2 linked regions of the Oryzias latipes genome follow. The protein of the gene in region 1 purifies or fractionates together with the protein of each later gene. This does not show direct contact. Links are inferred from orthologs where the notes say so. Each region holds a gene or a part of one and is shown in the gene's direction. Other genes may lie near its edges.

Evidence for each region. The genes of interacting proteins can lie anywhere in the genome.
Region 2: the proteins of lrwd1 (region 1) and orc3 purify together in Homo sapiens (affinity purification with mass spectrometry; 4 studies listed by BioGRID and IntAct, with this or other methods). This does not show direct contact. The link is inferred for Oryzias latipes from reciprocal best matches to the Homo sapiens genes LRWD1 and ORC3.

The regions. Positions count from the first base shown.
Region 1 is NC_019872.2:25,220,897-25,224,888, forward strand, and holds the end of lrwd1 (leucine-rich repeat and WD repeat-containing protein 1), read left to right. Parts: intron 1-136; coding exon 137-298; intron 299-431; coding exon 432-541; intron 542-2,679; coding exon 2,680-2,832; 3' UTR 2,833-3,413; downstream 3,414-3,992. UniProt on the Homo sapiens protein: Required for G1/S transition. Recruits and stabilizes the origin recognition complex (ORC) onto chromatin during G1 to establish pre-replication complex (preRC) and to heterochromatic sites in post-replicated cells.
Region 2 is NC_019880.2:10,107,344-10,111,588, reverse strand, and holds the start of orc3 (origin recognition complex subunit 3), read left to right. Parts: upstream 1-1,387; 5' UTR 1,388-1,510; coding exon 1,511-1,534; intron 1,535-1,640; coding exon 1,641-1,698; intron 1,699-1,778; coding exon 1,779-1,876; intron 1,877-3,734; coding exon 3,735-3,873; intron 3,874-3,964; coding exon 3,965-4,069; intron 4,070-4,166; coding exon 4,167-4,245. UniProt on the Homo sapiens protein: Component of the origin recognition complex (ORC) that binds origins of replication. DNA-binding is ATP-dependent. The specific DNA sequences that define origins of replication have not been identified yet.

The DNA.
Region 1 (3,992 bases):
GTGTGCTTCAAAGGGAAACTTATCCTTCAAATTCCCGAAAAGCCCCCAAACTGAAAGTTTAAGGAAACGAATACTTTTCTTTTACTTCTGGAGACGATTTTAACTTCTGCTTTTGTTGCGTCCGTCCTCCTGCCAGCCTCTAAGAACTACATGCACAGCTGCATCTACCTGTGGAGCTGGAGCAGGACTGTGGCTCAGCGGCCGGACAGGAAGAGCAGGAAGGTGTGTGCGGTGATTGTGGCTGAGCTGCAGTGGGCCAAAACCGACATACCCTACCTGGCTCTCAACACCTGTCCTGGTAGGTTACGACCTGTCTTGTCATATCCAAAATACTTTAAATACTGAACACATGGCAACCTGTAACGAGAAGAAGCTATTAGAAAGCTAATAATCAGCAGAAGGTCTAATGTTGGCCTGTGTTCACTTCTCAGGACGTGGTTACATTGTGTGTGGTGATGAGAAAGGCAGGATATGGACGTACCACGCTGCCAACCTCCAGAAAAATGGCTATCAGACTGGAAAACCCATCCCGCCTACTGATGTAGGTGTCTCGCCTGTATGCCAATGCATGAATTATTCGTTTTGTGGGTAAAAATTTCTGTCTGCAAAATTATCTCTTGTGCTTGCAGCATAAAAAAAACCCCACTAAGTTGGATTGCAGAGTATGAAAATGACTTGAAAGCTCCCAGATGGTGGAAATAGTCTGGTTATAAACAGCGGCGCTCTAAACAAAGCTAAAAGAAAATCCAAACAGTGACCAGAATCCATTCCTAACATCTGGACAGTGTCCTCTGTTTAGCTGGGATCATGTTTTTATGCAACAGAGGATAAAACATGACATTTTTAAGCTGTAAAGCCAACCCAACTAATAATATTTTACATTTGATTGTTTTATCATGTTATTAAACTAAATACGTTCACAGAAAGTATTTCAGTTTAGCTATATGGTTAGATTTACTACTATTTCTGAGTCTCTTCTGGAAGAACTGTGGCCAAATGCTCACAGGGATTTCTTTTTAATTGTGGTACGATCCCACACACGACTGAATAAAGGTACAAAAAAGTCAAGCTAGCAAGAGGCTTGCGTTTATCCTGCCTTAACAAAGAAAAATGCTTTTATGTTGTTGATAAATCTATTTATTCCTGCAGCACAGCTTGATCAGAACCACTGTGGAAGCCTTTGCAATGGCTGTTGCTCCACTTGCTTTGACCTTTTTTAGGCATCTAAAATGTACTAATATTTCAGATGCTCTTGAAATGTGAGGTGACTTCTTTCTGTTTGCACAGGAAGTTGCAAACAAGGAAATGCACAGTTTGAACGGTTTAATTTTGTATGAAAGTCCCACCGAAAATGTGTGTGATAGAGAAAATCTGTCATTTCCCGCTGATGCTGTTAACAGGAGCCAAAAGGGTTTTACAAGCAAAGGTTCATGAAAGATTTCATCATTATAAGTGTATATTTATAGTTTGAAAGACTGACTTTTTCTTTCAGACTTGATCCCGATCAACTAAGAATAGTTCTGACGAGCCAGAAGATGCACTTCAACCCTCCTTTTATGTTTGTTTCTGTGAAACGGCACTGATGTTTGCGGGTCAATTTGACCCGAGGCACATTTAACTTCACAAAGACATCCAAAATTCGCTAAAAAACTTTGTTCATGTCTCATCATGAACTCCAATGCTAACCATTTCAAACAATATTTAGTTCGATGATGTTCTTTACTGTTCAATATAAATAATTCCTTTGTTTGTTTTTGTTTACAAAACATTTTAAAAAATATTTATGTACACTGAAAATGCTTACATGGTAATTACAATAGTTTACATGCAGTTGATTTTGTAAAATCATATATATTTAGATTTTACTAACAGTGTTGTTTAGAAATTAAAGGGTCAACTTGATCTGCTAACTTAAAATTACCGTATTATAAGCATGACATGAGTATTTCTATTGAAAGTAACTTTTATAGAATATATTTTGTAACTGATATATTATTTTTATGTTTGATTTATTAATCATTTAGTGATTTCTTAAAAGAAGAAATTGACAAAAAAATATATACAAAAGAGGAAACATAACATACAGGAGATGGACTTAACCCTCCTTTTCTTAGTTTCTGAAGAGTAACACTGATGTTCTTGGGTCAATTTGACCCGAATTACAATTAACTACACAAAAGTGTCAGAAACCAAAAAAGTCACCAAAAATGTTCTTTATATTTGTTATTACATCCTTTGTTAACCATTATACTTACTATTCACATATCATTGTTCAAAGAGACTCGTTTAAACAATAGCAATTATTATATATGCAACTTTTTATTTTACATTTTCTTTATGATGGCATTATTTTGATAAATTAAAATAAGACACCTCTTATGTTTAGGGTCAAATTTACCCACTAACCTAAAATACTAAAGAACATGTGAGAATTTGTGTTGAAAGTAACTTTTATTTAAAGAGAGAATACATTGTTTTCATTTCCATTTTCCAAGTGTTTCTGCATAAACAGACTTTTATGTTAAAATAAAGGACAAAACTAAAATACGATGGATGAAAAAAATAAAAAACAGTGAATATTTTTCGGCTTTCTTGGCTTGTGGTTCTATTTGTAAGCAAATTATTTTGATTAAGCTAAATATCCTCCCAAGATTGATGTATTTCCGGCTTTCATTGCAGGTGTTGGAGTGGCCGGCCCCAAGAAGGAAGGGCCTGGGCTCTTTGGAGGGCCCCTCCATTAACAGCGTGGCGATGGATCCTGAGCTCACTTACATGGTCGCCCTGAGTGACAAGAATATGGTCATCATTTGGAAGAAAGAGGAGTGTTCATGAGCATTTTCTGTGGTTGTTTTTAAGGTGAAAAAAGTTTTGTTTCTCTAACAATGTTCATATAGATTTTTATTGTTGTTTTCCCACCTGGAGAAGGGGAACTTCTAAGATGTAGAACTTTGAAATGTTTTTTTTTTAAATTGTTTTTTAAGACTGAGTTTGGTAAAAAGCTAAGTTTTAATTTCCCCTTTTTTAAATTAGAGAAATATACTACTGTTAAATATGTGAAAAGAAATCTGTGACAGTTGTTCTAAACTGATTTTGACTGACGTTAGTTCTCAACGAACCAGAATTTTGTTTAAATAATTGTGCTTGAGAATGTATTTTTACGGCTTTATCTCTGACTCCACAGTATTAAACTTCCTTCTGGGTTAAGGGAAAAAAAAGTCAAATATTTTTATTTTTCTTTCTTTCTTTTCGCCATGTCAGCTTTTTCAAAGCACCAGTTTCATCTAACTTTCAAAATACGAGTGCAGAGCTACCAGATAAGATCAAATCCAACCAAAGCTGATATTTAAAGATCGCAATATTAAAAGCACATTTTTGAAAAACTTGTTTGATGTGCTAATAAATTTAGATTCTAATGTATTTGCAGTGTTTTTTTAAAGAAAAAGACTTGAAATGTGATTGCTGGTCATAATTTATGTTTCAATAATAAAACATGCAGCAATCCAGCTTTATTGCAAGAAGTGAAAGTGCTTTAAAAGATAAAGTACTGAACATTCCCTTCTTTCTAATTATGATGAGCTCAAGGAAAAGTTGGATTTTTGCTTAAGAGTGGTCGAACTTTTTGTGCGGCCATAAAACCTACCTTTTTAAATAAAAATGTAAAGCTTTGTCTTAAATTATTTTAAATCAGTTTTTGATGAAAGAATTGTTCCTTATTAGTATTTGTAAAACTGTATCTTTGTTGCAGTATGGAAGTAATCACTGCCAAATTTGATAAGCATTGACTAATGTATTTATTCTTTCCAGTAGTGGCAACGTCATGGTTTTTTTAAATTAAGTAGTTTAAAAGGTAATTACTAAAGTGTATTAGTTCCTAAAAGTACTTTAAATAATACTTTTGAAACCTTTTTAATAAAATGCTGTATAAAAAAGTGGATTAGATAAAACAGCCAGGCTCATTTAGTTTTTTTCTTTTTCTGCGCCTTTGAAACACA
Region 2 (4,245 bases), on another chromosome or scaffold:
CCAACTATTCTCAATGTAAATTAGAAAATAATAATTTGAAAAAAGTAAATTTTAGGCAGTGAAACAAAATATCCTAATAAAACAACCAAATAATGATTGATACAGGAAGAAAATGAGTATCCAAAAATAACTTTTAAATTCTTTAATGTTTCTGCGTGTGTGGTGCTTTATATGTTTATGAAATGTTAAGGTGTCAATAGGTACGGTTTTCATCAATATCAAAAGGCACTCAGAAAATGCAGGAAACTGATAGGAAGAGGTCAAACAGACCCAAACTCACAACAATTTAATTGTGGCCATTAAAGGGGGTTTCCACTTACACAGTGAAAAATAGACTTGGAGGTATGAGATTGACAAAACAAGTTGCAGCAAGAAAGGCATTACGGAAACATCACAACAAAGCAAAAAGTCCTCACTGATTCAGGAAACACTGGACTACTGAAGACTGGAAGAAGCCTTCATAAATCGATAATCAAAAGTAAAAAATCTTTATTTCAAATTGTTTTTATGTGTTGTCAAAATGTGAAAGAACAGCTCCACTGTGTGGGACATCAATTGTGAAACACGGAGGAGGAAGTGTGATGGTATGGAGCTGTTTTGGGGTCAGTGATATAAATAGGGCAAGAGGCACCTTAAACCAACTCAGCCACCACAAGACTGCAGCGCTTGGGTGCTGAGTTGGTTAAGAGTTTGTACTACAACAAATGAATGACCTAAAACACAAATCCAAGCTTTGCCAGAACTACCTGAAGACAAAACAAGACGGTAAACTTGAAAACACGCAGGGGTCAGTCAGCACAGTCTCCAGATTGCTAGGAAGCTGGTTTGGGAGCAAAGAAGCTTACGAGCCCCAAAGAACTTGTGAAAATATCTATGAAAGAGCGTTCCTGAGGTAAGAAAAATGGTGATTTTGATTAAACTAAAGTAAATTTTGGTCTATAAATTAGTTTTGGGATTCCTTTTTTGTAGATCCAGCTGCTATCAAGACATTACACAGAATACATTTAAATAAAAAATATAAATAAGGTGCTCTAAATTTTTAGACCAATAGTGCTGTTTATAGATCTCTACAACAATTTTAAAAATAAAGTTTTTTCAAATACATTTTAAAATTATTTTATGATAAAGTATTTATTTTACTTTGCACAAATATGTTCTAAATATATTTTCAGTTCATCTCATTATAGGTGGATTACAATATTTTTGTTTTCAAATAATTTAATCCATTATTACTTTAAAAAGAAACTTATTTGACACTTAATAAGATTTTCTTTTTCTTAAGTTAAGATAAAAAAAGAAGTTTATTTTACTAAATAAGGCACTTAGAAGTGAACGTATTCTGGTTGGGCGGGGCGTTCAATTTTACTGCCGTTTCATTGGCTAAACTGTGACGTCACTTTGGCGGGAAAACGACGATTTTAGGAAGACATGCAGCCGGCATTTCACTAAACACTAGTTTACTGAATGCCTGGATCTTTGGAGGATCGGCGGCCTCCTCGATATCTCAGAGATGTCTACGTCATCTGTGTCAAAGGTGATATTTTCTGCTGCGCGCAGATCTACTTGAAGTCGTAACGAAAATAAAACAAGATGGCTGCGATATTTTTTTCTTTACCTGCTTCTGATTGTGCTGTCCGCAGGGATGCTTTGTTTTTAAGCCCAGTCCGAAGAAGAGGAAGAAGCAGGATGTCAGTCAGGGTGAGGAGTCTCAGTCAGTGTTTTATAATGGTTCCTAAGACTCTATGCTAACTTGTCTTTTCTTTTTTTTGTCCACACAGAAAGTTATTTTATTCATGACTGCGCGGGTCCGGAAAGCGGCCAGAGGCGATTCAAGCTCTGCCAGGATCTGTGGAAGCAGATCGAAACTGAAACTGAGGTAAGAAACGCTGAAGAGAGAATATAATTACTTTAAGTTTTAGTCGAAACCAAATTAGGTATCGACTTAGGTGCCTGATCAAAATTCAGTAAAATAAACAGGATTCTAACTTCTGAAATATAGTCAAATTCAATAGGCACTTTCTTTGTGATTTTATATTAATACGTATGAATTTGACAAATGATCTGCAATTGGACTGGTAAAGTAAAAATGACTCTTATTAAGTTTTGAACTAGAATATAATAAATATTTTTTTAAAAAGTCATGTAAATCATACTAGGGGTGGGATTATATAACTTTGCTTAATCACTCTAATTTTAAAGCAAAGATTTAAACCTTTTTTTCAGACAAACTTCACACTTAATGAATTTCATGTGTCATGTATTTTATCTATAAATACCAATGTGTATATTTTTGATTTGAGTAACTATAATAACATAATTTAGAACTACTTGTATTTTTTACTTTTCCAATCAAGTCACGATTAACTATCCAAAGTTTGATATACCCACGTATAGATATGCATCTCTTTGATTTTAATAATAAATAATCAAACAAAATCCGAGGTCTAAATAATAAATAATAAACAAATAGTTAAAATAACACAGAGAGGTGTAAAAACAAGAAATGTTATAGAAAATGACCATAAATATTTTTCAGTGAGGCAAAATAGTCCATAGGACACAATATATATGGCACTTGTATACATTTACAACAGTGTAGTGATGGTAGATGAGGCGTCATGTTGTATTTTGGCACATTCCTAAACCGTATTGATAATCTGTCAATACTGTGTCATTCGATGCAGACTCATGCTGGACTGAAAACATCACTGCAGGCTACCAAGTTAAAAAAACTAAACAGATATATACATAAACTAGTGTAAAAACAATATTTGTCTTTGTAGTTCCTCATTCCCATGTCTCGCTCTATAATGTCCCAGCATGAAGGAGGTAGTTTGGCAGTTCTGCTTTAACCTCCAAAACATAAAATGATTAAATAATAATTAAAAAAAGAGTCTGTTTGAAATGGATTGGTATTCTGCTAGATTCAGCATAAACTGAGAGGAACAGGGGGACCAAAAGCTAAAAACACTAGTAAAACTATGAAGAAATTCCACCAACCAAATAAAAACACAGCATTCAACACCGTTAGGGAAGATTTGGTAAAATGAAACATAATAAACCGGGAAACTGGACACGGATCAGGTGCATGAACTTTTTTTTCTTCTTTTTTCTTTTTCCTCTGCAATTTCTAAGTCAAAACCACCCAATTGGGTGGGAAACCGCAGAATCTGGCAACACTGCTGGTAGACGCGCTTCCTTGTTTGACTCCTGTGTGACACACACACACACACACACATACACACACACACACAGTGGCTGTGTTGGTCACGTGACTTCTCCTGAAGTGATGCGCGCACCAACAGAGGGTTTCTCTTTATGAGCTCGACACGTGAGCCGGCGCGTCGGTGTTGCCGGAACCATCACTACGCTTAAAAATAAATTCAAGTGAACCTTCTGGTCTTATTCTTCCTGAGTCACTTTTCTACTCCCAGCTTCACCTGACCTAAATCCTAAAGTCAGTGGGGAGGGGCTCCAAGCCTCAGGGCAATTGGAATAATGCAACAAAATCAATGAACAACCAAATGAAAAGAAAAACACCAACAAATAAATGATTTGATAACAACAAACTAGTAAATATGAATATCTACCTGTGTAAACAGGGATCCTAAGGTGGAGCAGTGGGCTTCTCCGTCTCTTCTCCCTGGAAGGCTTGGTGGAGTGTGCATTACTCCACCTTCACATATAACCTTCAGATACGTTTTTTGATGCTTTTTTTTAAATGTCATTTTAAGGTTTTGCAGGATGAACTCCATAGGAAAATCTTGGACAGCTTACTGGAGTTCAGCAGGAAGTGTTCCTCCGCTCGTTGTCACGGCGACTGGGCATCGCAGATGAGGGCCAGTGAAATTCCCACAGCTGCCCTCATGCTGGGTATGCGGCGTACATTCTTCAGGAACCAGCTAACCCGATAAAACCCCACTATTTTTGGCGCGGTTTGACGTTTCTTTGACCTGCTCTCCAGGTGTCAACGTTCCCGATCACGACCTGACCTTCAGCAGCCTCTCGGACCTACTCAGACAGTCTGTCACTCCTTATGTGGTCTCTCTGCAGGCCAAGGAATGTGGAGGTAAGAGCTGAATACTTTCATATACTTTCTCAGTGTATACAGTGACTCACCAAACTTTCAGTTACTGGTATATGGTTTTCCTGCTTGATTTTTGTAGCACTGAAGCATTTGTTGAAGAGGGTCCTGGAGGGATTAATGGAGACGGTTGTGGCTGTGGATGATGAGGATGAAGCCGA